Linked DNA regions of Mus musculus: all the other regions are reported to be linked to region 1. The links are microRNA targets in miRTarBase. Many come from high-throughput screens and were not tested one by one. Region 1 holds a microRNA gene; each other region holds the end of a gene's coding sequence.
The links. The annotated mature microRNA mmu-miR-1192 reads AAACAAACAAACAGACCAAAUU and lies in region 1 at 2,412-2,433, opposite strand. An mRNA with a match to its seed (bases 2 to 7 or 8) in the 3' UTR can be bound and repressed. Matches are read on the target gene's strand: a 7mer-m8 pairs with bases 2 to 8, a 7mer-A1 pairs with bases 2 to 7 and ends in A, and an 8mer does both.

Region 2: miRTarBase lists Rc3h2 as a target of mmu-miR-1192. Seed matches in the 3' UTR shown: 7mer-A1 at 1,231-1,237, 7mer-m8 at 2,346-2,352 and 7mer-A1 at 2,875-2,881.
Region 3: the mRNA of Glrx2 is a reported target of mmu-miR-1192. Seed matches in the 3' UTR shown: 7mer-m8 at 2,438-2,444.
Region 4: the mRNA of Extl1 is a reported target of mmu-miR-1192. Seed matches in the 3' UTR shown: 7mer-m8 at 1,484-1,490, 7mer-m8 at 1,488-1,494 and 7mer-m8 at 1,492-1,498.
Region 5: the mRNA of Hoxd12 is a reported target of mmu-miR-1192. Seed matches in the 3' UTR shown: 7mer-m8 at 3,028-3,034.
Region 6: miRTarBase lists Bnip5 as a target of mmu-miR-1192. Seed matches in the 3' UTR shown: 7mer-m8 at 1,680-1,686, 7mer-m8 at 1,676-1,682, 7mer-m8 at 1,672-1,678, 7mer-m8 at 1,668-1,674, 7mer-m8 at 1,664-1,670 and 7mer-A1 at 1,174-1,180.
Region 7: miRTarBase lists Ogn as a target of mmu-miR-1192. Seed matches in the 3' UTR shown: 7mer-A1 at 1,147-1,153.

The regions. Positions count from the first base shown.
Region 1 is chr19:23,147,789-23,151,882 of GRCm38, reverse strand. It overlaps Mir1192 (microRNA 1192), which reads right to left and starts at 2,452; the gene lies at 2,332-2,452. All of the region lies in intron 1 of Klf9 (Kruppel-like factor 9), which reads right to left.
Region 2 is chr2:37,371,660-37,375,753 of GRCm38, reverse strand. It overlaps Rc3h2 (ring finger and CCCH-type zinc finger domains 2), which reads left to right. Exons shown (of 22, transcript NM_001100591.1): 22 at 326-4,094. The coding sequence ends at 521. Among named protein-coding and RNA genes, the nearest start is that of Pdcl, 14 kb to the right of the region's middle.
Region 3 is chr1:143,746,389-143,750,388 of GRCm38, forward strand. It overlaps Glrx2 (glutaredoxin 2 (thioltransferase)), which reads left to right. Exons shown (of 4, transcript NM_001038592.1): 4 at 120-3,290. The coding sequence ends at 251. Among named protein-coding and RNA genes, the nearest start is that of Glrx2, 8.8 kb to the left of the region's middle.
Region 4 is chr4:134,354,363-134,358,439 of GRCm38, reverse strand. Extl1 (exostosin-like glycosyltransferase 1) reads left to right here. Exons shown (of 11, transcript NM_019578.2): 10 at 294-462; 11 at 610-2,067. The coding sequence ends at 792. Slc30a2 (solute carrier family 30 (zinc transporter), member 2) reads right to left here. Exons shown (of 8, transcript NM_001039677.2): 8 at 3,956-4,077. Among named protein-coding and RNA genes, the nearest start is that of Slc30a2, 13 kb to the right of the region's middle.
Region 5 is chr2:74,675,322-74,679,415 of GRCm38, reverse strand. It overlaps Hoxd12 (homeobox D12), which reads right to left. Exons shown (of 2, transcript NM_008274.3): 1 at 3,762-4,094; 2 at 1,711-3,602. The coding sequence ends at 3,364. Among named protein-coding and RNA genes, the nearest start is that of Hoxd12, 2.4 kb to the right of the region's middle.
Region 6 is chr17:28,895,293-28,899,386 of GRCm38, forward strand. It overlaps Bnip5 (BCL2 interacting protein 5), which reads right to left. Exons shown (of 12, transcript NM_172450.3): 12 at 1,103-3,631. The coding sequence ends at 3,596. Among named protein-coding and RNA genes, the nearest start is that of 1700030A11Rik, 7.9 kb to the right of the region's middle.
Region 7 is chr13:49,622,481-49,626,480 of GRCm38, forward strand. Ogn (osteoglycin) reads left to right here. Exons shown (of 7, transcript NM_008760.5): 7 at 333-2,021. The coding sequence ends at 503. All of the region lies in intron 5 of Cenpp (centromere protein P), which reads right to left. Among named protein-coding and RNA genes, the nearest start is that of Ogn, 16 kb to the left of the region's middle.

The DNA of each region.
Region 1 (4,094 bases):
CTTTTCTACTCGCTACTGTTATTTTCAACCTTATGCTTGTGAGCCCTGAATGGGGCTGGCAGAACAGTGTCTGTGCAGATGTTAGAGGTCTCTAGGGAGCGCCAGAGCTCTGTATTTCCTCTTAAAGTCAGACCAGGAAGTGCTCAGAAAAGGCTGCTACCTCCCAGCCACGCCAGACCAAGTGCAACTTGTGGAAGCCCAGGTTAGGAAGGTCCTACTGGAACGGCACCTGAGGGGCTGGCTTGTTGTGGTCAAGTGGGACCCGGGTTGAGACGGGACTAGGTGCCACCAGAGGAAAGCAATGTCACAGTGCCCAGAATCTCACTCTTCAGCATACAGTGGGTGTGTGACAGCCAGTGGAGACCACCAGGCTGCAGGGATGACCCTTCATGATGCCAAAGCAGCCTGTGAGTTTTGCTATTCCAGATATCAACCAGGGAAAGAACGCGAGGAATCCCAAATTAGCATGGCTGTCTTGAGTTTTACCTCAGAAAGATAATACAATGTAATGTGTTAACAAGCTGTTTCTATAATTCCAGCACTTGCGAGGCTGAGGCAGAAGGATCACTGTGAGTTTGAGGCCAGTGTAGCTGTAGAATCGTATCTTTACAAACTCACTGATCCTAAGAACTCTTATACTGCCAAGATAGAGCTTTGCTCCAACGGGGGTGGGGGGGGGCGGTTAGTAACTATGCCCACTCTACCAGCTAGCTAGGTAGGTTGTGACAGATGAGGCAGACAGGCAATGCTATGCCATCATTTGTCTCCAGCTTCCCCCCTGGGGACTTCGCATTGCTGGTACCAGGGTATGGCTGTGGTGACAGAGTCTTACTCCACTGAACCACTCATTTCTGCAACAAAATGAGTCAGAGATTGGCCTGATTCAGTGTTCATCACCAGAAACTATGAAGGTTGGGTCTGAGCTCTCCAAACATGAGGCGCGCCCCCCCCCCCCCCGCCTCCTGCCCACCATGGGATCTGGACAAGTGACCCAAGCCGGCCTTGGATGCTCTCAGAATTCATCCCTCCTGCTTAGTCCTCCCGAAATGCTCAGGTTAGAGGCATGCACTCCACGCCCAACTTCATTCTGCTACTGTCTTTGAAACTGTAATGATACAACAACTACAACGGAATTACGGCAGCCCAGGAATTTAAGTCACTTTGGGGCGTGTGTGTGTGTGTGTGTGTGTGTGTGTAAGCTCTATTTTCTGTTTCCTGTATTTACTGTGGTGTTTCTGTTGAGTACGGTGCACATTGAAAGGACTTTGGAATCTCGATAGGAACCACTACATAAATGGCTCATCTTTACAGAGACCTTCTCTATTAAGTAACACCTGGGATAATAAATGCTCACGTAAATGTGATTCATTTCATCCCTCAGAGCACTGGAATAGATGATGTGAAAACCCTGAAGATCACACGGCTGCTTATAAAACTTGTCCCATGTGAAGCATTTGTTTGGTCTTGGTTCCCCAATCATCTCCTCAGGGGGGCCTGTGAGTGCATGAGCACTTGTAAAATATGTTGAAATTATCTGTACTCTGCCAGGTCCTTTCTGTCCATTCGCTCAGAGCCTATCTTTTCTGCTAAGCTCAGGAGAGCAGAGAAAATAAATGCTGCTCTTTGGCACAGCCTATTTGCAAGCCTAAGTGGACATCGGTGTTTGATTCGCCTTGTCTGGCCTCTATCTTCCTCTACTGGTAAGGAACAGTGCACCTTGCTTCCCTTTGCAGCCAGTCCTTTCTCTGAGCCCACACCTTCAGACCTGAGAGTCTTGGATAAATAAGTCTGTTTTCATAAGGGACACACCACTTAAGCTTAGCCGTGGCTTTCAGCCTGGGTTGTTTGCTGGAATCATTAGGAATGGGAAGTAGTCTTTCTGTGGGGCTTTGCTGAATTGGCAGGAAGTGAGTCTGGTGTTGCTTGGCAGCCATTTTAGTACCATTCAGAGACAGCCTGCTCATGAATGAAGCCAGAGCCAGCAAGAGGGTGGCAAAGCCATAGAGAGAGGGGGCACTGAATGTCCATCTGCATTCAGCAACTCCTGAACTTGGATCTCCATTTTTAATCTTTTTTTAAGTTTTGCTAAGTAGCCTAGTGTGCCCTCTAACACGTGGCAGTTGTCTGCTGCCTAAGCCTATCAAGTGTTGGGATTATAGGTGAGAGACACAACGCCCAGCTCAGAGCAAGTCCAAGTCTGGACTTTCTTGCTTGCAACCTATTTATGGATCCCAAACCCAGCCCCTGGCAGGTGTGGCAGCACTGGCCTGTCATCTCAGCAGTCTGGAAGCTGAGGCAGAAAGACAGCCTAGACCATAGAGTTGCAGGCTGGCATGAGCTATACAAGCCAGACCCTGTCTCAAAACACAAAAGCAAACAAACAAAAAGAGCAAATCGAAACAACAATGACAAATTTGGTCTGTTTGTTTGTTTGTTTTTACTGTTTGGAAGGAAATAGTTTCGGGTGACAAGGTCAGGAGCAGTTATTTTTGTTGACTTTCCTAACTAAAACTCATGAAAACTATCTTCACATCAGACCTGGGGCACAAGGAAGACAGCTTAAGATGGTGGCTCTAGGGCCAAACCCAAAAGAGCCATAAGAATAAATACAGAATCTCTTCTCACTGGGAGCAAGCCACTCAACAGCCCTCACGTACAACTTAGACCTTGAAACAACAGTAGGAATATCTCAGCATAACCTTGGACGAGTCTGATTCCTCCTGTTTAAACAAGAAAAGCAACACACTTCTATTCGGTCTTATGGGATTAACATTCAAGTGAAATGCACGTAAGCCACTTAGCTCAGGCTCTGAGACATACTACATGTTCAGGACGATAGTGCTCACTAAGTCTCAATGGCTGTCGCCATCTAACACACCTTTCACTTGTCACCATTGCTCAGCACCATCCTGAGTCCACCTAGAATTCTAAACAAAAATTCTAAGGCTCTCAAAGGTGTCTGGGATATGTATGTAAAATATATATTTTTTAATTGTAGTAATCCTCAGCAAAAGGTTGGCATGCATAATCTTTTAAATGACTCATCTGAACGTGGCCTCATAATTTCATGAATATATATAATTATGGAACCCCATTTGACAGGTGAGAAACCTGAGGTTTCAGGGAGATAAAAGCTTTGCTTGAGTCTTTGTGATGAGAGTTATGGAGTCAGGGTTAGGTTAGGCCTGGGCAGGTGCATGCTCCCATCACGGTACCTCTGTTTCTATGGTGAAGGTAAAGGCTCTTCTGGAAGCCCCTTGCCTTAGCTAGAGCTCCTGAGAAGTCACTCACTATTCTGATGGGCCAGGGCCTTGTCGTCACTAACTGTGATCTTAGCAGAGCTGATCCCCTGTAAAGGGCAGGTGCTGAAGTCCCCCAACCTTTCTCCCATTGTTCTGAGCCACAATGATCTGCAGTGTTGGCACATGCCTTTAATCCCAGCACTTGGGAGGCAGAGGCAGGCGGATTTCTGAGTTCGAGGCCAGCCTGGTCTACAGAGTGAGTTCCAGGACAGCCAGGGCTACACAGAGAAACCCTGTCTCGAAAAACAAACAAACAAAAAATAAATCAATAAATTTCAGGGGCCCAAGACACAGTGCTAGCAGCACTCAGGAGGCCCAGGTTCCATCCCCCAACCCCAGAAAACACTTTCATTCACGCAAAGACCCAGCAGCTCTGGCCTGGGATGATGGAGTGGAAACCTTTGGATCCCAGGTCCAGATTCTCAGCTCTTACCACAGGCTTCCAAAGCCCCGAGCACCTGGGAAGTGTGCAGCTAAGACAAAAAGAGGCTTGAAGACACACCTCACAAACGTGTGTGTTTAGGAACAAGTGGGAATGAATGTGGAGAAAGACCCAAGAAATTAAAAAAAAAAAAAAAAATTTGGGTTCCTCCCTACTCTGGTGGAGGACGCCATTCTCCCAATATCACTGCTAGTCCTACACTTACTGAGGAGGCAAGACAAATACTAACTCTTGGCCTTCCAGGAAGGAAAAAGCAAGGACTCTGAGCTTGGCCTGGAGCTGCTTCAGGAACTGAGGTTGGCTGGGCACGAGAGGAAGAGGCTGGGCCACTCCCCCAAGCCCCTATACCT
Region 2 (4,094 bases), not on the chromosome of region 1:
TTTTATGTGTATGGGTGTTTTGACTGCATATATGTCTATGTGTGTGCAAGCTTTGTGCCCAAAGAGGCCCGGAAGGACATTGCTTCCTCTGAGATTGGAGTTACAGACTGCTGTGTGGTTTTGGCTGTTGAACCCCCAGGTCCTCTGGAGTAGCAGTTGTGCTTTAACTTCTGAGCCTTCTCTTTAGCCCCTACTTAATACATTTTTTAATAAAGAAGATAGGCTTTTCTGTGGGCTTAGAGTTTGAAGTAGCTTTCAGAGAGCAAATGTGATAACTCTTAAATTGTACATAAGTTAATTTGCTTTCACTGTCATTTTCTCTCAGGGAGGAGCAAAAACCAATTCTGCCGGTAACATCTTGCTTTAGCCAGCCACGTCCAATGTCTATTAGCAGTGCAAGCTGCCTCCCCATCACCACATCTGTCAGTGTTGGCAACCTCATTCTGAAAACTCACGTTATGTCTGAAGATAAAAACGACTTTTTAAAACCTATTGCAAATGGGAAGATGGTTAACAGCTGAAAGGAGGCTCAGCTTTCAAATCTGTGACCACACCATGGAAGCATTTACACTAGCTTTTTATATATATAATATATATTATATAATGTATATTTTTTTTAAAAAAAAAGATATTACTGGGGGCATCCATTTCCTGTGGACTCTTTGATACTTCAAGCCCTCTTGCATTAGCATTATGAAAAAAAAGAAAATTTACTTTACTAGGGTAATGTTCACTTTCCAGAAATTATTGGAATTTGGACAACATTTAACTTAAGCTTCAAGCAGCTTTTTATGAGTTTGTAGCAATCCGGTGCAGTAACTGAGCCATTTCCTATTTTAAATGGCTTCTACAGTAAATTAACAACTCAGTTATTAAACTAGCAGGATCCTACAATGATACATCTAGTGAAAGTAGAGTTAATTAACTTATTTCTATTTTATGTTTCACTGAGAGAAATTTCCATCTCATTCCAGCTGCTTTATTTATCTTTTTCATTGGACTTTGCATGGATTTTTCTTTCTTTCTTTTTTTGTTTTGTTTTGTTTTGTTTTTCCTTTTCTTTTCTGTCTTTTTTTTTTTTTTTTGAGAGTGGAGTTAGATGTTCTTACCATAGAGTTTTACAGGGTTATAATAGCTTTCTTTACTGCATTATATGTAGAAGTGTAGTGCAGTGCTTTTATCTGTAGCATTTAATTTTTTAATTTTCCATTTTTCAAGAATAGTTTCTGCTTTGTTAATATTTATACACAGGCTACTTGTTGAAGTAATTAATTAAAAATATAACCAAGTGCCTAAGTCTTTCAGCTGATGTACTAGATATTAAATTCTCCTAAGTTATGCAGAATCGTTTTTACAATTTTGATAAATTATGCACTAATGTAATGGCAATTTTTTAAAATGCAGATTTAAGCCTGTACATTATTGAATCTGATGACTTGGCAAAAGAATCAGGTGCTTTCAGCTTTCTTGAGAAAACCCTGTATGTAGCGTTTGCACTGACTAACAAGATGGTATTGCTGGGTCTTTAATTTAAAGAAATTAATTTGGGTGTTCATTGCATTATTTAGTTAGATATTGTTTATTGTTACTTCATGTTGGGTTTAATTTTCTTGTTTTCTGACTGTTAGGTTGATAAGACTTTGAACCATGTAGTAGTAGAACATTGGCTAACATTACCCATACTTAAAAACATGAATAATTTCTGCCCTGCCATAATGTGACTGAAATTTTCACTTGGCATCTGAAAGTATGCAGTATGTTCAACCAGCTCTGCCCCAGATTTGTGGGTAGTAGTTTATTGAAGCTTAAATTTCAGTCAATATTTAAAAACAAAAGCAGGGCATGCCTTTCTGGTAGTAATCTAATAGTTTATCTTTTTGTTTTTCTTCCATTTCTTTAAGATTAGTTTGACTTTTATTATTTTTTAATTAACTTCTGTGAAGTTGTTTACTCTGAAAATTGTACTGGAATATTTTAAGCCAAGCTGATCTTTCACCAGGTGTACTGTATGTAAGGGCTTCTCCTGCTAGCAAGATGCTTAAACAGGATCATGTTATTGGTCGTCTGAGCTATTTAGTTATTTTACAAAAACCACAGCATTGTATCAGAGAAGATTTTGATAAAAGTTTTGTGCACATTTCCAGGGGTGGGAGGGTTAACATTTCCCTGAAATTTCTTGATTGGAATGAGTAAATACTGGTGTTTGATACCTGTCTTAATGAACATGCTCATAAGGTGACTGATACGTTGTAAATAATACCTGAGAAACAAAGGGGTAGTTTTGATATTCTGGTGTCAGTATGGAAGATCTTACACATTTATTTAATACTCAAGTGTATGAAGATGTTTGTTTATAACATAACAGCACAGTAGCCTTGACTTAGTTTTATTTGGTTAGTACTGTACCTTTTTGCCATGGCCAGTGCTCCCCATCCCTACAAAGACATTTTATTTATTTTACTCTGTAACCTGAAATGAAGAGGAACAAGAGTTTTAAACCATGTTACATTAACTTATTTCTGACATTATAAATTAGCCTAGGATATTACAGGAACATGATTGTTATATAATTTATATCAGAACCTTTCTATAAATATGAGCTTATTACATTTGAAATGTTTCCAATGTATTTTTCTTTTCCTTCTCTTCTCTTCTCTTCTCTTCTCTCTTCTCTCTTCTCTCTTCTCTCTTCTCTCTTCTTTTCTTTTCTTTTCTTTTCTTTTCTTTTCTTTTCTTTTCTTTTCTTTTCTTTTCTTTCTGTTTGTAATTCCAAAAAGGTTATGTAAACCAGTCTGTCTATTTCATGGATATTTAATAGTGAGATCTTCCATGTTGAAGGTAATGTATTTTTTTTTAAGATTTTAAAATTGCTATTTTGTTACAAAATAGAGACCTATTAACAGTTGAGAGCTCCTTATGTGCCCTCAGGGAAAGAACCCTCTGTGCAGCAGAGCTACACGAACATCTTCAGCACTTTCTGAGGGTGATTATATACTACATAAATTGATCTTGTGTATTTAACCTTATCTTTTTAATTTTAAAGTTGAAATTTTGAAACGTGGTTGTGCTCTTCTGGAGGGGTTGGGATGCTTAGGTGTTTGCCTACTTGTTCAGTAAACTGCATTTCATCAGTGTATGTGTACACCTGCCAACCTTATTGGTGTGTCTCAAACATTTATAGGAAAATAGTGCTTGTCTTGCAGCAGATGATCCCATAAAACAATAACTTCTAATTCTTAAATGTTTACTCTTTCTCACTAACAACACAGGAATTGTTTCTGTGTTCACATTATTCTGTATTGCATTTTTTATGTGGTGACAGCTTACTGTATGTTTTAGTGGGTATAATTTGAAATAAGGCTATTGGATCTCTGCCACTTAAGAAGAAAGAACAGTTCATCTGACCTTTCTTCAAAATGATACCTGCTGATGTCACAGAGGAAAATAGTACAAACAGACCTAGAATGTGTTTTTTTTTAATTGGGGCAATCATCACTTTGACCCTTTATCAAGATGACATGATGAACACATTTGGAATCAGAGGCTACAAAACAATAGAAGAGAAACTTTGTAATGTCGGTATCTAAAATGCTTGTAAAGCCTATGGGTCTAATCAGGAATCAGTAGTATGAAGTCTGAAAAAAAGCAGGGAAATGGTGTAGGTTTCCTTATATTTTTTACCTGTCAGTTTTCGGAGTCCCAATTCCTAGTCTGTGTGCTGCATTCAGATGCTGTGAATATATCATTAGTTTTGTGTGGGCTTCTTTTATTTTATGAATTCTAAGAGTTCTGTGTATATTTCTTCTAGTTGGTACCTACACAAATTAGATTTCTCTTGCTTTTGCCACTATGACTTATTTCAGTGCCATGCAACGAGTCAGTGTATGTAGGGACAGGGACATTGTACATTGTAATTTTCAAGAAAAGGTATCTCTTAAGGCCCGTGGCACTGATTCTGCTTTCATAGCTACTTACTCTACTAAGAGAATTCAATGAAACTTCATTTAAAAACTAAAATTTCCCATTGGTATGGATCGTAGTCACTTTGACCCAGATTTCAAGTTGATGCTAAGTTTACAAAGCACATCCTGATT
Region 3 (4,000 bases), not on the chromosome of region 1:
TCTCCTACCTCTTTTCCTGTTGCTATATTCGGCAAGTTACTTTTCCTCACTTCCCTCCAAAACTGGACCAGTTCTGACACCGATGGTTAGGCCTTATTTATCTTTTCCTTCTTCAACAGGTTCCCAGGATATTTGTCAATGGACGATTTATTGGAGGCGCAGCGGACACTCACAGGCTTCACAAAGAAGGGAAATTGCTGCCTCTGGTTCATCAGTGTTATTTAAAAAAAAAACAAGAGGAAAGACATTGAATGATGTGGATAGTCGCCATACCAGTAAATGCTAGTTAGTGCAGTCGTACCTTTGACTTGAGGCTGTTTTCAGTGTGTGGATTGCCTTCATAAAGATGATTCAGAATAATGAACAATAAATTGCCCTGGACCCTTCATCTCCCGATTGGCCAGTTTTTGAGCATGAGATGGTATAAAAAAACTAAAGGAGGTGGAGTTACATCAAAAGTAAAGAATGTTTATTAAGAATTTAAGAATCTTACAGCAAAGAGGGAGTACGCACTTAAACTCTTGCTCCCCATGGCATTCAGGAATTAACTTCTCACGTTCACTAGCTGTCAGGGCTGAGGACTGACATGTGGCTTCCTTAAAATTTAATGTGGTACAGATGTGCAGTGGGTTGGGATACCATATCATGACAACCCTTTATGTTCTAGACCACCAAACATACTAAATATGTAGAATTCGATGAAGTTTCTAGTTGGGGCATCAAGCTGCTAATGACTTCATGGTCAGAAAGCAAAAGGTTTCAATAGAGTGAGAGTGGGCTTTTCAAACAGTTCAGAAATGTTATTTAGTTCTGTTGCCAGTTGGACATTCTACCTTTCAGAATGTGTATCAGCTACTGGAATTTTTTTTTTTTTTCCTTTTGGAGACAGGGTCACTCTGTAGCTCAGAATGGCCACAAACGCAAAAGTCAGTCCTCCTACCTGTTTCCAGGCTTGGATTATATGCTGAGCTACCACACCCAGCTTGAGAATGCTTAAGAGAAACAGGAATTAGAGTTTAGACTAACGGTCCTTGTTATAGTCCGAACGTGCCCCACCACAGACATCATGTGTTGGAAACACATGACATAACCTGATATGGTACGCGAGGTGAGGCCTTTACAAAGTACTTAATCCTGAGGGCAGATGGGTCCGTGCTCTATTAGAGTGGTTCTTGATAAAAGGATGAGTTTGTCCCCTTACCTCTCCCGTCTTTGCTCTTCCTCTTCTTCCTCTGCAGTGTCCTGATACAGCAAGGAAATCCTCACTAGATAACCTCACCTTCCCGACCGATGACCTAGAGAAAGTCCATCTCTTCTTCATAAAGTACTCAGTCTCAGGTAGTCTGTCTGAGTCCCACAGATGGAGCGTCCCTAAAATCACTTCTGTTATCTTACTATTCTCTAACTAGGAAGACACTGTTCAAATTGACTTCATTTCAGATAAACTTAGCAAACAGAATTAACCTTTAAGAAGTAATATTTAAAAGAACTGAAAACATTTCCAATGCTTTGCTAGTCTGGTCATGGTTTCCGCCTCTGGTCAAGAATATTTTAAGTGCTTAAGAAATGATGCATTTCCTAGCAGATTCTCAGAGTCACGTTGGAAATGTTATCAAATGCTGAGCCTTTCTCAGGTAGGAAGAACATGGACTTCCCAGAGTGAGTGCTTCAGCTTTCTGGTCAAGATAGACTAGGGACTCATGCAGAGTTTGGAGGGAGACAGTGGCTTGCTGTCAGAGATGTTTCCTACGTGGACTTCAACTGCATTTTGGATAACTTGACATAGAAGTTAAGACAGCTCTCCTGATTTAAGCTGTCATGTTGGTAGGAAAGGAACATGGTGTATTTTTATTCCTTTATTTTACACTATATCATGAGAAATTATATAATTTTACTATGCTCTAAAACTCACATTATGTATGGGAAAGGTGTCACTGTTTCTGTTGTCACTAGTAATCTTATTAGGATGTAAGGTCAAAGGCAGGTTACTTAAATGCACAGCTACACCAACCACGTAATAATATGGCCTTGGCTTTGAGGAGCTTTTTTTGTGGTATTCAGCCTCAGACCCAGGGCTTGAATAGCAGGCAGGTGTGCAGGTGCCACTGACTTATAAAACTTTTTCTTTTTTTTTTTTTTTACATTAGACTTTTTTAATTAGATATTTTCTTTATTTACATTTCAAATGTTATCCCCTTTCCTAGTTTCCCCTCTGAAAATTCCGTATCCCCTCCCATTCCCCCCAACTCACCCACTCCCATTCCTGGCCCTGGCATTCCCCTATACCGGGGCATAGAACCTTCACAGGACCAAGGGCCTCTCCTCCCATTGATGACCAACTAGGCCATCCTCTGCTACATACGAAGCTCGAGCCATGAGTCCCACCATGTGTTTTTTTTGGTTGGTGGTTTAGTCCCTGGGAGCTCTGGGGGTACTGGTTTGTTCATATTTTTGTTCCTTCTATGGGGCTTGCAAACTCCTTCAGCTCCTTGGGTCCTTTCTCTAGCTACTTCATTGGGGACCCTGTGCTCTGTCCAATGGATGGCTATGAGCATCCACTTCTGTATTTGTCAGGCACTGGCAGAGCCTGTCAGGAGACAGCTATATCAGGCTCCTGTCAGCATGCTCTTGTTGGCATCTGCAATAGTGTCGGGTTTGGTGATTGTTAATGGGATGGATCTCCAGGTGGGGCAGTCTCTGGATGGTCATTTGTTCAGTTTCTGCTCCATGCTTTATCTCTGTAACTCCTTCCATGGGTATTTTGTTTTCCCTTCTAAGAAGGATCAAAGTATCCACACTTTGGTGTTCCTTCTTCTTGAGTTTCATGTGTTTTGTGAATTGTATCTTGGGTATTCTGAGCTTCTGGGCTAATATCCACTGGGCTAATATACCACTTAGCTATACAACTAATTCTTAAGAATGTTTTATCAGTTCTTCCTAGGCTTGTGGGAAACAAGAGGATGTGTGGTACATAATTCTTGGTTAGGGTCAGATGTTAAAATAACCCAGCTCTTAAAAAATCCTTATCGTCAGAAGGCTCAAGAATATAGAAGGTAACAGGGTATGTTAATTTTCAATTATAAGTTTATATAAGAAATAAACTCTTAAAGCCGGGCATGGTGGCGCACGCCTTTAATCCCAGCACTTGTGAGGCAGAGGCGGGCGGATTTCTGAGTTTGAGGCCAGCCTGGTCTACAGAGTGAGTTCCAGGACAGCCAGGGCTACACAGAGAAACCCTGTCTCAAAAAAAAAAAAAAAAAAAGAAATAAACTCTTCCAATGATTGCTTAATTGTGTGCTGAATTTTATTCTCAGTGACTTAAACAAAAAGATTACTTCTTGGAACCTAGCACTGCATCAAAAGGAATGAATTTGCAAACCAGGACTACTCACTGACAGGAAGAGTTGAAAGTGAAGGGCGCTGACCTCACTTAGTCTTTGTAGTGGTTGACATGTCTTTGCAAAAAGACCCAAGACTGTAACAGAAGACTTAGCCTCTGCGAACATTTACAATAATGGAGTCTAGATAGCTGTATGGGTAGAAGTGCTTGCCAAGCAAGCCCATGATCTAAGCTCAGTCTCTGGGACCCGCAGTGGAGAGCAATGATTCCTGAAAGTCCTTCTTGACTTGTCCATGTGAGGGCTCACTCTCATAGGCCCTGTCCATATGTATGTGTGCACAAATAACAAAGAAATGCTAGATAAAACTCAGGAACACACACGCACAAGATACAACTTGTGTTAGTGCTGGAAGGAGGACTGCATGAGGCATGCATGCATATGAAGGCCAGAATTGCTTTGTGGAGTCAGTTTTCTCCACCTTAGTATGGGTTCATTTTGGTGATGGAGCTTCAGTTAATAGGCTTGTACAACCACTGTCCTTTACACACTGTGCTATCGCTTAGCTTAAAGGATACAATATTTATTTTTTAGTTTTGGGGGTTATGGTACTTAGCATATGTTAAAGCAAAACCCAGTTTCAGAAGGTTAATGCATTTGTG
Region 4 (4,077 bases), not on the chromosome of region 1:
TACCCCCCCCCCCCCCACAGACACATCATCAAGTCATCTCTGTCAGAGTTCAGACTTGGGAACACAGAAAGAGGGCCGCCCGGAGAGACTGGAGGAATTCACAATCATTGCCCAACCCCTAAATCACAGGGCACATGGAGAAGGGTCATGCCCAGGGTGGGAGCACCCTGGGAGAGGAGCTAGGGGATGGGGTACAGGTCTTGGAACTTGGGGTCTGGGGTCAAAGATAGGGAAATGAATGAGGCCTGCATCCCCCCCACCCCCCAGCCTAAGGCTTACCATGTATCTTACAGGTACTACCACACCCTCTTCACCCACTCCCTGCCTAAGGCCCTGAGGACCATAGCTGATGAGACTCCCACCTGTGTTGACGTCCTGATGAACTTCCTGGTAGCCACCGTCACCAAACTGCCCCCTATCAAGGTGCCTTATGGGAGGCAGCACCCGGAGGCTGTGCCAATGGTGAGGCGACTCCAGGGGCTGGAAAGCCCTGATGGGGAAGGAAAAGAGGGCGGAGCCTCTTCACTCTCTAATCCAAATCTTGTTGCAGCAGCGTGAGGGTTCATAAAAAAACCAACCTCACGGACACGTTTCCCTCTCACCTCTTAGGATTCTGGGGATCCACGACCAGTGCCGGAGCCTCAGCCCCTGGATCAGGACTGCATCAACCGTTTAGCAGCAGGGTTCGGCCACATGCCTCTGGTTTCCTCTCAAGTGCGTCTGGATCCGGTGTTGTTCAAGGACCCGGTATCGGTGCAACGCAAGAAGTATCGCAGTCTAGAGAAGCCATAGGCGAGGCACTGCACCTGTCTGCTAGACACGAGAGAACCAACAGAGATGGATCAAAGTCCTGTCCCGGTTGGCCAATCGCTACAGGGATCCCTGAGGGCCGGGGCCTTCTCCAGCTGCAGTGGGGTTGCGTTTGGCACGTTTCGCACAGGCCGGTGTACAGGCTGATCCTGTTCCCTGAAATGCCTTTCTCTGCATCTCTGCCTGGTCGACCTATGTCTGTCAGACCTGCACTCACCTCCTTGGTGATCTCGAAGTCCTCGCACGATTCACGCCGAGTGGCCTTGAGCACATCACGAGGCCCCAGGGCCGGCCTGCAAGCTCCGTAGGGCGGAGTCCTGCTCTCATCTCTTTGGTCTGGCAGGTGCACTGTAAATATTTGAGCAATAGCTGCAAGAGTATTAACTGGTGGCATGCGTGGTGGAACACGGGCAGAATGTGCACAAGACATAACGCTGCCCCTTACTCTGGAGTTCCTGGTCCCGGTACAAAGCACACACCAGGATTTCCAGACTCAATCAAGCGTGAACAAAGAGGCCAGGAGTCGAAGATAACCAGAGGATTCGGTGTCTCGGCAGACCCGGGATCTTGGGTGACTAGCAGCACTGCACTACCAATCTTGACCACTAGAGGTCAGCTGCTGCACTACTCTCCCTTCAAAGGAATGGAGTTTGGTTTTGCTTGACATTTTGTTGTTTGTTTGTTTGTTTTTGTTTTTCAAGTAAGGGTTTCTCTGGGTAGTCCTGGCTGTCCTGGAACTCGCACTGTATGCCAGACTAGCCTCAAATTCACAGAGATCCACCTGACTTTTGCTTCCCAGGGTGCTGAGATTAAATTCATGCACTACACCTGGCTGCCTCTTGAACTTGGGGGGGGTCAGGAGGGGAGGAGGAGGCAAGACAAGGTCCCAGTCTGTAACCCAGGCTGGCTTGGAACTCACTGCAGTCTTACTGCCTCAGTTTCCCAAGTGTTAGAGTTACAGGTGTGAGCCACAATGCCTGACTGAATGGAGTTAAAGACTACGGATAAAATGTCGAGCTAGAGGGTCACTGGTGTGTGCAGACCCCAGGATGAAAACATGCAAGGAATACGACAGAACTCCACGTTGGCCTGCAAACTTGGGCTGTTGGCAGATGGGCTGGTCGCCAGGAAGAGGGCTGTCCTCAGCATCCTGTAGGTGAGAGTGGAGTAGGGGAGGGGAGGCTGCTTTTCCTGGGTTCGTCCACCTGGAACTGGAATTATCGCTTCCGAAATAAAGCACGTGTCCTTGCCCACTCACGCCCGGGCTATAAATACGCTTACAGCAGCTGCCCTGTGTGGCAGGGCGCTCAGGGTCAGCGAGGGGCGTGGCATGGAACTGGGGTGACTTCAGACAGTGAGGGTGGGGGGTCTAACCCAGCCCAAGGTATCGGGTGTTTTCCTTCTTTGATGGCTTCGGCCACTGTGGAAACTCCCGTGACTAGGTTGCTGGCTGGAACAGGCTGTCCCCTGAGGCCTCCCAACCTCTTTCTCCAACTTCACTCCTTGCCCCTGTATGACTCAGGTCCTTCCTGGAGCCTGTCACAGCTGGGTGTGGAAAGCCGGTCTGGGTCTTCTAATGGAAGCAGGGTGCTGTCAGATGCCTTGAGGTGCAAGGTGGGTGGGGGAGGAGCGGATTTGAGATTAAAGTGGGGGAGGAGGCCTGGCCCAGGGTCAGGAGCAGTTGAGGGTAAGAGGACTCACACAGCTGCAGTCTAGGCAGCCTGCCAAAGATGGAAAGGGCACCCGGTGCCAGGGCCAGCCCAGGGACAGAAGGCACCTTTGCAGTGGTGGCTTGGACATCCAGGACGATGGACTGCCTTGGGGTTGGTTGAGACTGTGTGGAAAGCACTGTTGCATTTCAGGGCTCACGCTGGGCTAAACATGCAGCTCAAGGCAGGTCCAACTTCTGCTGTCATCAGCCCAGGAATGAGGGACATCTGTCGCCAGCAGTGGGCCTCTCTGAACCTTCCTTTTTCTTGTCTATAAAAATGAAAGTAGGGTGGTGCGGGGCTAGAGAGATGGCTCAGAGGTTAAGAGCACTGACTGCTCTTGCAAAGGATCTCTTCCTGGGTTCCTCACTCACACATTGGATGGCACACAAACACATATTAACTCCTGTTCCCAGGGATCCAACACCCGCCTTCTGGCCTCCACAGGCACCCACACATGTGGTTCACATACAGATAAGTATGTGTGTGTGCACGCACACACACACACACACACACACACACACAATTTAAAAGAAAGGAAGAAGAGGGTCTGGTGTTTATAGTTCCAACACTCAGGAGGCAGGGGCAAGAGACCCTCTCAAAGTCCCAGGCAACCTTCTCTTGAGAGGTTTAAGGATGTGGCACACTGTGGTACCCAGTATCCAGAATCCTGGGGCTGGTGGAGGCTGAGGGGTGGGCATGTGATGCCTTGAGACTGGAGGGGTACATCTTCCCCATTCCAGGTCCACGCAGGTTTCACACAGACCTGACCCTAAGTAAATATGACAGTGCCAGAGACATAGCTTTTCTTTACAGTTGGAGAGAAGTTCAAAGGTGAGGAGGCCGGGGTGGTGCATGGTGCATGCTGGGATTCAGCTACTCAGGAGGCTGAAGCAGGAGGATGGCAATTGCAGGCTAGTGTGGGATATCTAAAAAGTCTGCTGCCTACCTCTAATTCCAGAACTTAGGAGGCAGAGACAAGAGGGCTAGTGAGTTGGCTGTGGGGGAAGGGACAGGCCTAGCGACCTGAATTCCCTCCCCAGAGCTCAGAGTAGAGAGAGAGAACCAACTCCCTGATCTTTGCCCACACACCATGGAACACACATGCCCACACCGATGCACAGACACACAATAATAACCATTTTTTAAAATTTTTTTAAGAAGACCAGGAGGAGTCCGAGGCTATCTCCAGGGCTACCTGAGCAGCCAGAGAAACAAAAGGAAACAGAAACTGAGGGGCTGGAGAGATGGCTCAGGGGTTAGAGACGCTGGCTTCAGGTCCCAGCATCCACGTGGTGGCTCTGGGCTCAATTCCCAGCACCCACAAGGTGGCTCACAACCATTTTTGCCTTCTAAGGGATCTGATGCCATCTTCCTGTATCCAATGGTACCAAGTATATACATGGCACATATATATCTGCAAGGCAAAACACTCATACACATAAAACAAATGCCATTTATTTTTTTTAAATTGGGGTGGTGGTGCTGGTGGTGGAGGCCAACCCTAGCCTTTCTCCTTACTGTGCCAGGACAGAGCCATTGCAGGAACTTTAGGAAG
Region 5 (4,094 bases), not on the chromosome of region 1:
GCCAGTCTCTTCCCTGCAGAGCCTACCGAAAAGACTTAAGTGGAGACTGGAAAACAACAACAACAAAAATGTGGGCAGATCACCTTTGTCCAAGGACTGTTGGACAGGCGCTGTGCCCCCCACTACCACTGAGGGATGTGGATGCGGCTGAGAGAGGCCAGTGATGGGGCACACCTCCCTCCCCCACCACCAGACATGAATATTTACAAGGATTCTGGATCTCTCCTCCACTAGCTCGCAGCCAGGAAGCCTCCCTAGCCTGCCTCCCAAGGGGGAGAACCCTCGGCCCTTAAAAGCTTCCCCCTTTCGGCCTCCAGAGCTATCAACGGAGTGAACAGCAGGGTAAACCGTCCTTTTTTCCATTTTAAAACCTCTTTCTTAGTCAAGAGGCCTCGTGGATTGCAGCGTTTCAGAAGCATTTCTCTCTCTACGAGGGAATGTGGAGCCATCAGATTTCAATATCTTTTCTCTTTGGCATTTGTTTCGTACCCTGGTTCCAAATTTCTTTCAGAACTTCGGTTAGGGAAGGAGACTCCGTGGTCTTTGGATTTCTGTGGATCAGTAAAGGGGATGCATTTGGAAAACACCGCTGGACCTACAGATAAGATTTTATACTTAGGCTAATTTTCTTCTGGGACTGGTCTCTAGGAATCTCCCCCCACCCTCCATACACAAACCATTCCAGAATACACAGAAACATAATGGCTTAGTATCATATCTATCTAGGAAAATTGGCCTGCATGTTTTGTGTTAGGGTCTGAGTCTGAGGAAGTCTGGCTTCTTCTTCCTTTCTCAGTCCTCTGGACCCAAGGTCTCTCAGTATGGCTTCTGCCTTTGTTCAGTTGTTTTTCCGAGGAGAAAACCTCTCAATACAGACTCAGACTCCAGAAACCTGGCTTAGTACCACTCCCTTCCTGAACAGTAAGATGGGGAAACATCCCAACCACAGGACCCTCGCAACCCCTTCCTTCTTACCTTCCAATTGTTGTGGATATTTTTTAAAAATTGTTTAAAAAATACTATATGCATAAATCGAATTTGTTCCCCAGGAAGGGAATTGGAACTTGAATATTCAGTATTAAGAGATGCATTGGTCTTGCTTATTCTTTCTCTAGTGAGACACTACTTTCTACCTTTATGAGTTAAGAGTCATTTTCAAAGGGGTTACTTTTAAACAGGCCCTGGGTTTATTTGACTGAACTCTGGGCTCCAAAGGCAGAATTCCTAAGGAGCCTGCTGAAGTCCTGGTGCAGTTACCTAGGGAGCTTCCTAGGACTTAGCTTGCTCCTTAGAACTCTGACCACAACTTGGCAGAGAGATGTTTTGTTTTGAAATCTGAGGAGTCTCAAATCTTGACTCTCCCTTCCCCCACCAATTATAGTGAGCTTTAAAGTTTGAGAATTTAGGCAAAGTTGAGAATCCTTAGTCTACAAACTTTTAGTTTGCTTTGTGTTTGAGATACAACCACATCTGCCCAAGGACTCCCCCTTTGAATATTTCACACATATTCTGTCTATAATTCTTTTAAAAAATATATAGCTGTTTCCTGACTGTCTGGGAAGCCATTTTCTCATTTAATGAACAGCAAAGGCCAGAGTTGAAACCTCAAGTGGAGAAAAACAAAAAAACGAATTTGAGAGCCTGAAAAAGATTACAAAAGAATTTAAGGCATCTTTTAAAAATGAGCATCAGCCCCCTAACAACTTGTCTGGGATCTGGATATTTATTTTCACTATGAAGCTAATATATACAGGGAAGTGTTATTTTACAAAATCAAAACAAAACATAAACGGCAACTGTTAGCACAGGAAATAATATTTAACACACCAACCGAGGTCAGTTGGGGCGAGGCTCAAAGGTCCTTGTGAGATGCCCTTCGAGGTCCAGTTCCTGGAGACCTTCTCTAAAGGAAAGCCATTGGACTTGGGGAAGGAATCATGAGCCTTTGGGATGTTGTGCATCTTGCTAAAGGTTGGGGGTGGGGCTTAAAGCTCAAAAGAAGAGGCAAAGATTGTAGGGGAAGGCGGAGTTGAATTCACTGGGAATGAGGCTGGACAGATTCTATAACAGGCGTAGAGCAACTTCATTCACAATTCAGAAAACCTAGGTTTCTCAAGGTAAACCTGGCAGGGCTTGGGGCCTTAAAAGCTTTACAAGAGCTGACCACCAGTCTCTGAGAAGAGACACCCTAGCTAAGTTCTGATGGAGTTGGTGGGTGGTGGAGAGGATGGGGAAGAAGTGCTGGTTTTCTGTCCTTCAAGAGCAGCAACTACAGTCTGAGAATCTGAGAGGTTTCTTCTCCCACCCTTCAGACTCCTCAAGGAGGCATTTTTTTTGGGGGGGGGGTCTCTTCCTGTGGTGATACATTAAGGAAATTCAAGAAAGACAGACATATGGATAACTTCATTCATTCAAGAGGAGAGTCGTGGTTACAGAGTGCAGATCCTCCTCCGCCTCGCTTACTCTTCTTTCTTCCCTGTGCAGCCAAGCCTCAAAACAGGCCAGCAGCTCCCCTCACCCATAGCTCAGTTCTGGGGATCTAGTTACAGAGTGCTTGGCCTTGGCTCAGGGATAGGTGAGGCTGGAGCAGGGGAATTATGACAGTCTAGAGACCATACTTTGTTTTGGAGTCCCAGTTTCTCTCCCTGTCTCTGAGAAGGAGATCTTCCAGCCTGTTTTACTCAGCAGGAGAACCTTTGAAGCGCTGAGGTTCCAGGGTATCCTTTCCTCCCCCCCCCCCCACAAGTCTGAAGGTCTAGGGTAGCTTTTGTCCTCCCAAATCATTCAGGGCAGATGGGGGTTGTGGAATCAGGCCCTTTCCTTCCTGCAGAGTGGAGAGCCCAGCTTTGTCACAAAGGGCTTCTGCTGCGAAGGGGCTAGAGTTATCCCCAGCCCCTTGCACTGCAGCGGGGTCTCAGGGCCTTTCTACCTGCACTTATACCCGGAGCTCTAGCTAGGCTCCTGTTTCATGCAGAAAGAGCTGGATAGAGAAAGAAAAAGAAAAAGAACACGTTGAAAACCGGAAAAAACAAACCCTCATACAGTGTTTCAATAGTGAGCCCCGGATGTAAACATCATAGACAAGGACAGGTGACCCCCAGACACCATGCTGAATGTTTAAAGCCAGTGTTAGATTGCAATTCCCAAACACCTCTCAGGAGGGTCCCAAAGAGAGCTGAAAGCGAAGGGGGCTCCACTGGCCTCATCTCCAAATCTCCTCCTGGTTCCTCAGCTACAGACTGAGCCGAAGGGCGCCCAGGACCAGAGGAGTGGGAGGGAAATCTGCAGCCCCAACACCTCCTCCACAGCCAGGCCTTGGTCCAAAAGGGCAGGCTTGGCAAGGCCTCAGGCCCCCGTGGGCAGCTAATAGAGGGCCAGTGCTTGCTCGCGCTGCACTACCCGCTTCTTCTTCATACGCCGGTTCTGGAACCAGATTTTGACCTGCTGGTCGCTGAGGTTCAGCCTGTTAGACAATTCCTTACGCTTCTGCCGGTTGATGAATTCATTGACCAGGAATTCGTTCTCCAGCTCCGCAATCTGCTGCTTTGTGTAGGGTTTCCTCTTCTTGCGGGCCCTCCCCGGGGCCGCCCCCCACGGCAGGCCTGCAACAGAGCCCCGACCCATGTCAGCTCGCTCAGATCAACTGCCCGCCCCACAGACGTTCACCACTGCTGGCGGGTCTCCTCCCTGTCCAACTGTCCCTGACACCCCACCTCCCGTCCCTGCCTAAACTGGCTTGGGGGAGCATGGGCACTGTTTACCGTCGGGCAGTGAAGATCGCAGGCAAGAGGCCACCCCGGCCACTTGCACTGCCATGTTCAAGTTGAGCGGGCCTTTGGTGTCTTCCTTGAAGCTGGAGGCACAGGGGGCCCCCTGGAGCAGGGTCGCAGAGCCTGGAGCGGTCCGGCCCACACCCGCGTAGTCATACTTGGTGCCTTTGAGAGCCGAATGAACCAGACTAGACTCGGGGGCGAAGGGCGGCCTAGTCCGGCTGCGTTCCTCAGATGCGGTGGGCGCATCAGGCGTATAGAACTTGACCTGGTCTTCGGGTCCGTCCTTGGCGCCTGGAGACTGCAGGCCAATTGGCCCAGAGC
Region 6 (4,094 bases), not on the chromosome of region 1:
TGGGAGAGCTTGATAGAGAAGGCAAAAGTCCCCAGCCCAGAACTGGCGCTGCTTGTATAGGCCTAGGAGTGGCCTATACTTGATTGGTTGTGTTTCAGTGTCTCATTTACATTCCCCAGGATGGGCTGTGACGTGGCGCAAAACCCTTATGCACATGCGCACATTGGTTGTTTACCCGAACTTATGGGCGGTGGCCAGCGGTAGCCAGCGCCATCTTGTAATGGCGTATGTAGCTTCCCACATGCTGAACCCTTACAACCCAGGCTGAATTCAAACTGGATATTGTGAGGTCTCAGAGAAACCCGGGACAAATGGCTGAGGTGCCTATTTAACACACCAAGGCAGACTCTGGCTCAGTCCATACTCACAAGTGCCTGTTACAGACTCGTCCTGCCTGGCATGCCCCGCCCCCCTACCCGCATTCTCTCCAACGCCAGAGCTTTCTTCCCCTTACCCCAGATTCTCCCATTCCTGTATATATAACCAGCCATTTTGGCTATGTGGCCTCTCTTTTGGTCCACAGCCCCTCCTTCCTCTATGGATTCCCACCGCCATCTCATGGTCTGCGTCAGTCTGCTAGCCATGTGCAGTCTGGACTCTCCCAGATGCCTCTGGCTTCTCTGTCATTCATATCTACAGTAAACGTCCCCTCAACCATGCCGTCCTTTTCCCATTCAGACACATAGCAGAGAGCGGCCTCAAACCCTTTCTCCACACCTGTGCTAAGTCACACCAGCTTCATCAAGTAATCAAAAAGAACGATGGCTGACCCAGCCTCTCTCTGCCTCAGGAGTCAGGTTAGGACAGCAATATCTCATTTCTGACATTACCCGCCTGGGATCGGATGGGAAGCCCTGAGCTCATGACCACCCAACCTAGCACCCCTTTTATTACTGTGTCAGCATGGTGTCACTCTAAAGTTGAGCCAGAGAGAACCCAGGACAGGGACAGGGAGGCTGGCCCCACTAGCTCGGACTGTCCTGGATGGGGGCTGGTGGCGGCCATCTGGTCTCTTCTAGATGGAACACGGGGGCAGCCATTTTGTCTCCACTGGGTGGAGCAAGATGACCTAGCTTCCCTGAAAAGATCCGGTTCACACTTTGAGTCAGTGTCTTTATTGGTTCAAACAACACAGTATAAAAACCAGACTTGGATGCCAGCATCGGGAACTCATAACAAATATTCTACAGCCTGGATAGTCGTTCTTACAGATAAGAGACAATGTCCAAGGTTTGGAGCGAGCACTCAGTGGTAAAACAAGCCCTGTTCCCAGCAGGCAGCTTACAACCATCCAGCGCCATGAGATACAGCACCCTCTTCTGGCTTCCGTGGATACTGCACTCATACCAACCCACATAATTTAAAATGAAAACATAATTTATATATAAATAAAAGAAACTATGTACAGTTGGGTGTGGTAACTAACCTGAACTATGTAGAAGACTGATTTGCTAATAATAAAATAAACTATGTACAAAAGGCTCCTGACCCTTGTTTCAAAAATTTAGTTCCCGGGGCTGGAGAGATGGCTCAGTGGATAAGAGGGCATTGACTGCTCTTCCAGAGGCCCCAGGTTCAATTCCCAGCATCCACATTACAGTAATTTCTTGTAACTCCAATTCCAGGAGTCTGACACCCACACACAGATACACACGCAGGCAAAAACAAACAAACAAACAAACAAACAAAAATAACCCACCAATGCACACAACACCATCTTTTGAAAAGTCACTCAAAGCTTTGGCTCTTGCACGTCCATGCCACACCCAAGAATACTACCTAAAATAAATCTATAAGGAGATCAAGTGCCAGTAAGAGACACCTTGATGGAATTAAAAATAAATAAATAAAGGGAGGATTTTAGTTGAACTTCCTGAAAGGATGCCTTCGCTTGAGACTGCCTCCACCTGAGAGCCAGGCCTTCCTACCTCCATTCAGCTGCCATGAATGAAGCCATTCAGCCCAGGTGCCATGAGCCTGCTGTGGCCACCAATAGTCTCCAAGGCTTACGAGACTCACTCTGCCACCCAGGCTTTGATACCCTCCCCCATGGTCACACTTTCCTGCCAATAGCCCAGGGAGTCAATGGCCCCAGCTCCTGTGTGTGGGTATGGACGTGTGACGAATATGCGTATCTATGTCACTGGCCACATCTCACAATTGTGCAGATAGACACATCCACAAGAGGGCCAAACACGTCCCAGCCATCAGTGATAATGGTGTCTTAGTCAGGGTTTCTAACCCAACACTGTGACCAAAATGTAAATTGAGAGGAAAGGGTTTAACCTGCTTACACTTCCAAATCGAGGTTCATCACCAAAGGAAGTCAGGACAGGAACTCACACAGGGCAGGAACCTGGAGGCAGGAGCTGAAGCAGACACCACAGAGCGGGGCTACTTACTGGCTTGCTCCCCGTGGCTTGCTCAGCCTACCTTCTTGTAGAACCCAGGACCACCAGCCCAAGGATGGCCCCACCCACACTGGGCTGGGCCCTCCCCCCTTGATCACTAGTTGAGAAAATGCCTTACAGCTGGATCTCATGGAGGCATTTCCTCAACAGAGGCTCCTTTCTCTGTGATAACTCCAGCTTGTGTCAAGTTGACACACAACCATCCAGCACAGACAGGATGAAGGCTGCATGTCTTAGGGCAAGAGGCTTTGGGGCAGTGCACATCTGTGCAGCATCTGGGGCAGTCCAGCTTGAAGCCCTCTTCGACTTTCTGAAATCTACCCAGCTGTGACCATGTAAAGTAGCCCAGGTGTGGTGGCACACAGCTGTAGTCTCAGTACTCAAGAGACTAGGGTGGGGTTGGGGTAGAGAGATGCTCACCTGGGCCACAGAGTGAGACCTTTCTCAATACGATAAAATAATTAACTGGGCGGTGGTGGCACATGCCTTTAATCCCGGGAGATCGGGAGTGACGTGGCAGAGACACAGCTACAGCTATTTGAATGCATGTGTGTTTTCCAGCTGGAAACTGAATTTAAAAACTATTTTTCAAAATGAAGACTCATTTATGGTGGGGTGTGGTGGCCTAAGTTTGGGTGATGTCAGCGCTGAACCAGGCAGATCCCTTGGACTCTCAACCTCAGACAAACCTGCTTGGGTGAGTCTCAAAAAACAAGGCAGATCGAACTGGAGGCGGGATACCGGGGATTGACCTCTGACCTACACTACCTCCCTCCACCCAGTGACACACAGAGACAGACAGGCGGGCAGGCAGGCAGGCAGATAAGCAGACATATATACACACACACCAGCTAAGACTCATGGATTTGGCAGATGTCAGTCATGAGGGATGAGGGAGTTGAGGGTGGGGGGATGGGATGCAGAGGGGAGAGCCTCCAGGTTCACTCGATGAAGCCTGACCTCCTAACCCCATTCCAGTGCCGACCCCAGCACAGCTTCTGGGTCCCACTTCCCGGAAGAAAGTGTTCCCAGACAATGCTGAGCGCACAGAGAATTGTCCATGGTCCATTCTTGCCTGCAGGGAATCACAAAAGTGGGCCATCCTATGGGGGTCTTCCGGGTCTCCGGGCCAAAGCTGCTGACTATTGGCTACTCAGAAAGAACTTGTGTATGAGATGTGGCCTTCAGTCCGGACTCTGGCTATCCAGATTCGTGATGTCCTGGGAGGGGAAAAGCCACAGGCAGACTCAGCAGGGCCAGAGACAGCAAGCTCCCCACCCTGCCGCAAGCTCCCTACCGAGCCAATCCACACCCACGATAGGTCCCCTAGACTTTGCAGCTCCTCTCCCCCTTCATCGGGCACAGCTGTCCTCAGTTCTTCAGCCTCAGTCTCCAAAGCCCTGATCATTCAAATTGCATCTGCCACTTCCTGCAGGCCCTTGGGACCAACTCGCAACACCGGGCTCAGTTGCCTGTCCTTTGAAGCTGACTACAGCTTAGCTCTTGTCTTTGTGTCCCAGAAGACTGCAGCAAGGGGGGAGGATGGCATTTGAACTGAAGCCTAAAAATCAGATGTGGGGGGTCAAATAGATGGCTCAGTCGGTAAAGGTCTTTGCCAGTAAGACTGGCAAGCTGACTTCCATCCATCCCTAGAACCAACTCCCAGGAGTTGTTTCTGATCTC
Region 7 (4,000 bases), not on the chromosome of region 1:
GGAAAAAGTGAAAACGAGAAAAAGTTGATTCTCAGCAACACAAGAATTTCAGCTATTTAAGCAAAGAGTACCATTTGAATTAACACTTTAGAATAGGATACTCTCTCTAAGCTTGCATGTTTATATTCCAAACAGGATTGAGTGGACGCAACTCTGAGTAATAACAATACTAAACACTTAAAATATGTCTAGGTTGCAAAAGAGGGTGTCATCACCATGAACTAATATTTTTAAAAAGATTACATTATTGCCAAAATATCTTTATGTGACCCTATTGTAAAATGTACAAAAAGTTGGTTTTAGATTACTGATATTTTCCTTTTGTTTTTCAGTTTAACAGCATATCTTCACTTACAGATGATACATTCTGCAAGGCTAATGACACTCGTTACATTCGGGAGCGAATTGAAGAGATTCGCCTGGAGGGCAATCCAATTGCTCTGGGAAAGCATCCAAACAGTTTTATCTGCTTAAAAAGATTACCCATAGGGTCATACTTCTAACCCCATCAGTGCAGCTTATAACCTAAGGTACATGTGCCTAATGTCTAAAGGAACAGAAACATTAGTTTAACATTACCGTTTTATCTCACTATGATGGAAGTTTATGTTTAAACAAAGTGTCCAAAATTGTTGTATGTGACTACAAAAATAATCCAGCCTGAATCTCTTAGTTCAAAACAAAATACTGTGAAACTAAACAGCATTAAGGGTCTCCTTGTTGTTATACCAAACCACTATCTAAATAGCATGCTTTTACACAGACACTTGCTTGAGATACACCATTCCCATGACTAATGAAGTAAGAAAATTCCAAGAAACTTGCAACTGTTTGTCTTTTTTAGCATTTACTGTATCTCAAAAGCATTTAAGACAGAGGTTCCAGAACCTGTGCAAAGCCAAGTGCTCCCAGTGACCTTCCACTGACTCTGATTCATCAGCATTCTTTGTAAAGCAGAAATGTACTTTCTGTCAAGGCAGCTACTTCACTGCATTTCTCACTTAGCCCAAGGAAAGGGACAACACACGCAAGCAAACATTTCCAGAGAAGGGAAAATTTTACTCTTTGGTACAGAGCCAATTTAGAAAAGTTCAATTTTCTGCTTTGTGGTCACATGGATAGCCTTTAGTCAATTACTTAAAAAACTTTGTTAAAAAAAAAAAGTAAAAATCCTACCCATTTCTCAAAGGATAATAAGGTTCCTTCACCTTAAAGATTCTCAAATATGAAATAATTGTAAACTTTTTCACAGTATAGGAGTTTATTCAAATATAGGAAATGAAAACAAAGTCTACACCATTGTGCTGTGTGCAGCTTCACCTGTATATGTTCACCCAAACAAACTAAATATGCTCATTCCAGCCCAAGAGCACCATTTCTCAATGACCATGGTTTCCAGATACATGTAATAGTGAAAACCCAATCTCACAATGCAGATTAAAGTTCCAAAACTAAGCTTCAGAGGAAGGTGCACAGACCACTCACAAATATTACTCTACATATTACTTGGAGTTGAACATAAAATGATCAGCGTTTTAGAAATATTCATCTTTTATACATAAAAGTACCAATATCATTTCTATTATAAGTTTTACATTAGACTCTCCATGTTCTTCCCAGAATATTCATTTTAAGTTTGGTGGTTTTGTTCCAACCCAGATTGACCCCTGTCTCCTCTGTTAAGGGTGATGAAACTTTTCATTAAAGCATCTGTGAACTGTAAGGCCACAACTATTGCTCTAATAATGTCAACTAGCTCATTCATTTTTATAAGTTAATTACAGTAACTTTATCCCACTGTATTATTTTGTGTCCATGACTCATTTTCTCTGTGACTGAACGCTCACCAAGAGCACTGAACACAGTTCTATTTTTATGATACTTAATAGCATATTTGAGTTAAATATACAATAAACATTGTGAAATCTATCCAAGTAGAAGGGTTCTGTTTATATGGAAAAAACAAGTTAGTATAATCTTGAATAAATCAACAGAAATAAAGCGACAAGATTGAGAATGGACAATGTTCTAGTATGCCTATTAATTTTCCAGTTTTAACAAGAAAAGTGTACTCATCTACACATGCACACAAACACACATAGTTTGGTATTTTCAAGGCGTATGTTGCTCTGGGGACTGAGCAGAGTGCCTTGAGCATGCTATACAAGATCACTGGTCTATATCCCCAGCCTTCTATATGCTTTGTTTAATAAAATTTAATGAGAAAATACCATAAGATAATTATAAGATAAATTTTCAAGGTTAAAAATCAATGGTTTAGGTAAAACCATAATTGAGAGAAAGAACATTAGTAAAAATTGTAAGTTATAGAATTTGCTTAAATAACTTGGGATTCCCTGATAAGATAATTTGAGTATAGGTAGTTTATACCTTATATTGAAAATTAAGTAAGATCCAGAATGAAGCAAGAAAAACAATACAAGTAAAATTATTCTTGAGTCCACTCTATTATACCAGTGTTTTACTCTTGACAATTTTAACTCAAGAAAGTCTTAAAATAAAAGAAAACTATTCATACCAAGATTGGAGAAGATATGGTTCAGAGATTAAGAGAACCTACTGCTCTTGCAAAGGACCCAAGTTTGATTCCAATACCAACAACTCCAGTACCAGGGAATCCAATACTCTCCTCCTCTGGCAATGCACACATATGTAGTACTTACAAAGTGCAGTAAAACACTTATACATATGAGATGAAAATGAGATCTTTTTAAAATTATTTATACATTATGAATACTGCAAAAAACACACACACATACACCCCGAAGACATATGTGGTGTTTTAAATAAGAACAACCCCCACTGGCTCATATATTTGAATATTCAGTGACCAGGAAGTGAACTGGTTCTAAGAAGGATTAGAAGGTTGGAGTAGGTGTGCCACTGGGGGTGGCAGGGTGGCCTTGGAGGTTTCAAAAGCCCATGCCAGCCAGGCCCAGCATATCTCTCAAAGTCTGTAACAGATGTGAACTTACAACTATTTCTCAAGCACCATGCCTGCCTGTTGCTATGCTCTGTGCCATGATAATAGTGGACTAGCCCTCTGAAATGTAAGCAAGCCCCCAACTGAATGCTTTCTTCTATAAGTTGGTCATGGTGTCTCTTCACAGTAAGAGAACACTAAGACAATATACATAAAAGAATAAAAAGTATCAGTGATGTTTTTCCAGGAGCATTAAAAAAAGAATCTACTCTAAAATTTATATAGACTATCCAAAGACCCCATATAAACAAACAAAAACTGTTGAAAAAGAACCAAGAAAGATGACTCATACCTATTAACTTCAAGACTTTTTATAAAAATACAATAAAACAAACAATAATATTGCCATATTTACATACTTATAAGTGATATAAAATTAGAGTGCCCAGAAATAAATATATTAAAGAAATAGAATAAAATCATAAGAATGACTTGAGGGACTGCAGTATGGAGACTTTTCATTCTCCATGTTTCATCTGGAGAAAGCCTGATGTCTGACAAATTTTATAAACTCAACCAAGTAGAATGAATTTAATAATAATAAACGAAGAATTGAACCCCAAATACAAGAGGCTCAGTACCAGTCTTTAAAATAATAATAGCTATAGGTTACTGAAGGACTAGAATCTTGAAATGTGATTCATGCTGATTCACTCAGAACAGGTTTTTGTGTGGGCGCATAGCTGTTAATAACAATGCCATGGAAATAAGTAGGATGGGAGGGATTAGAACACAGAAAAACAGCTTTTGCTTATGCCCCTAAACATTTTTTACAGCAGTCTTTAAAGCATTTCCATTAGACTTAAAACCATTACTTCATAAAAATCATGCTTCAATATTTATACTCAAGATGTACAATAATCCAGCAGTTCAAAACAGTTCAGCATAGAAGTTATAAGCAACCCCAAACTCCACCAGAGAACTTCCACAGCTGATAAACAACTTCAGCAAAGTGGCTGGATATAAAATTAAATCAAGCAAATCAGTAGCTTTCCT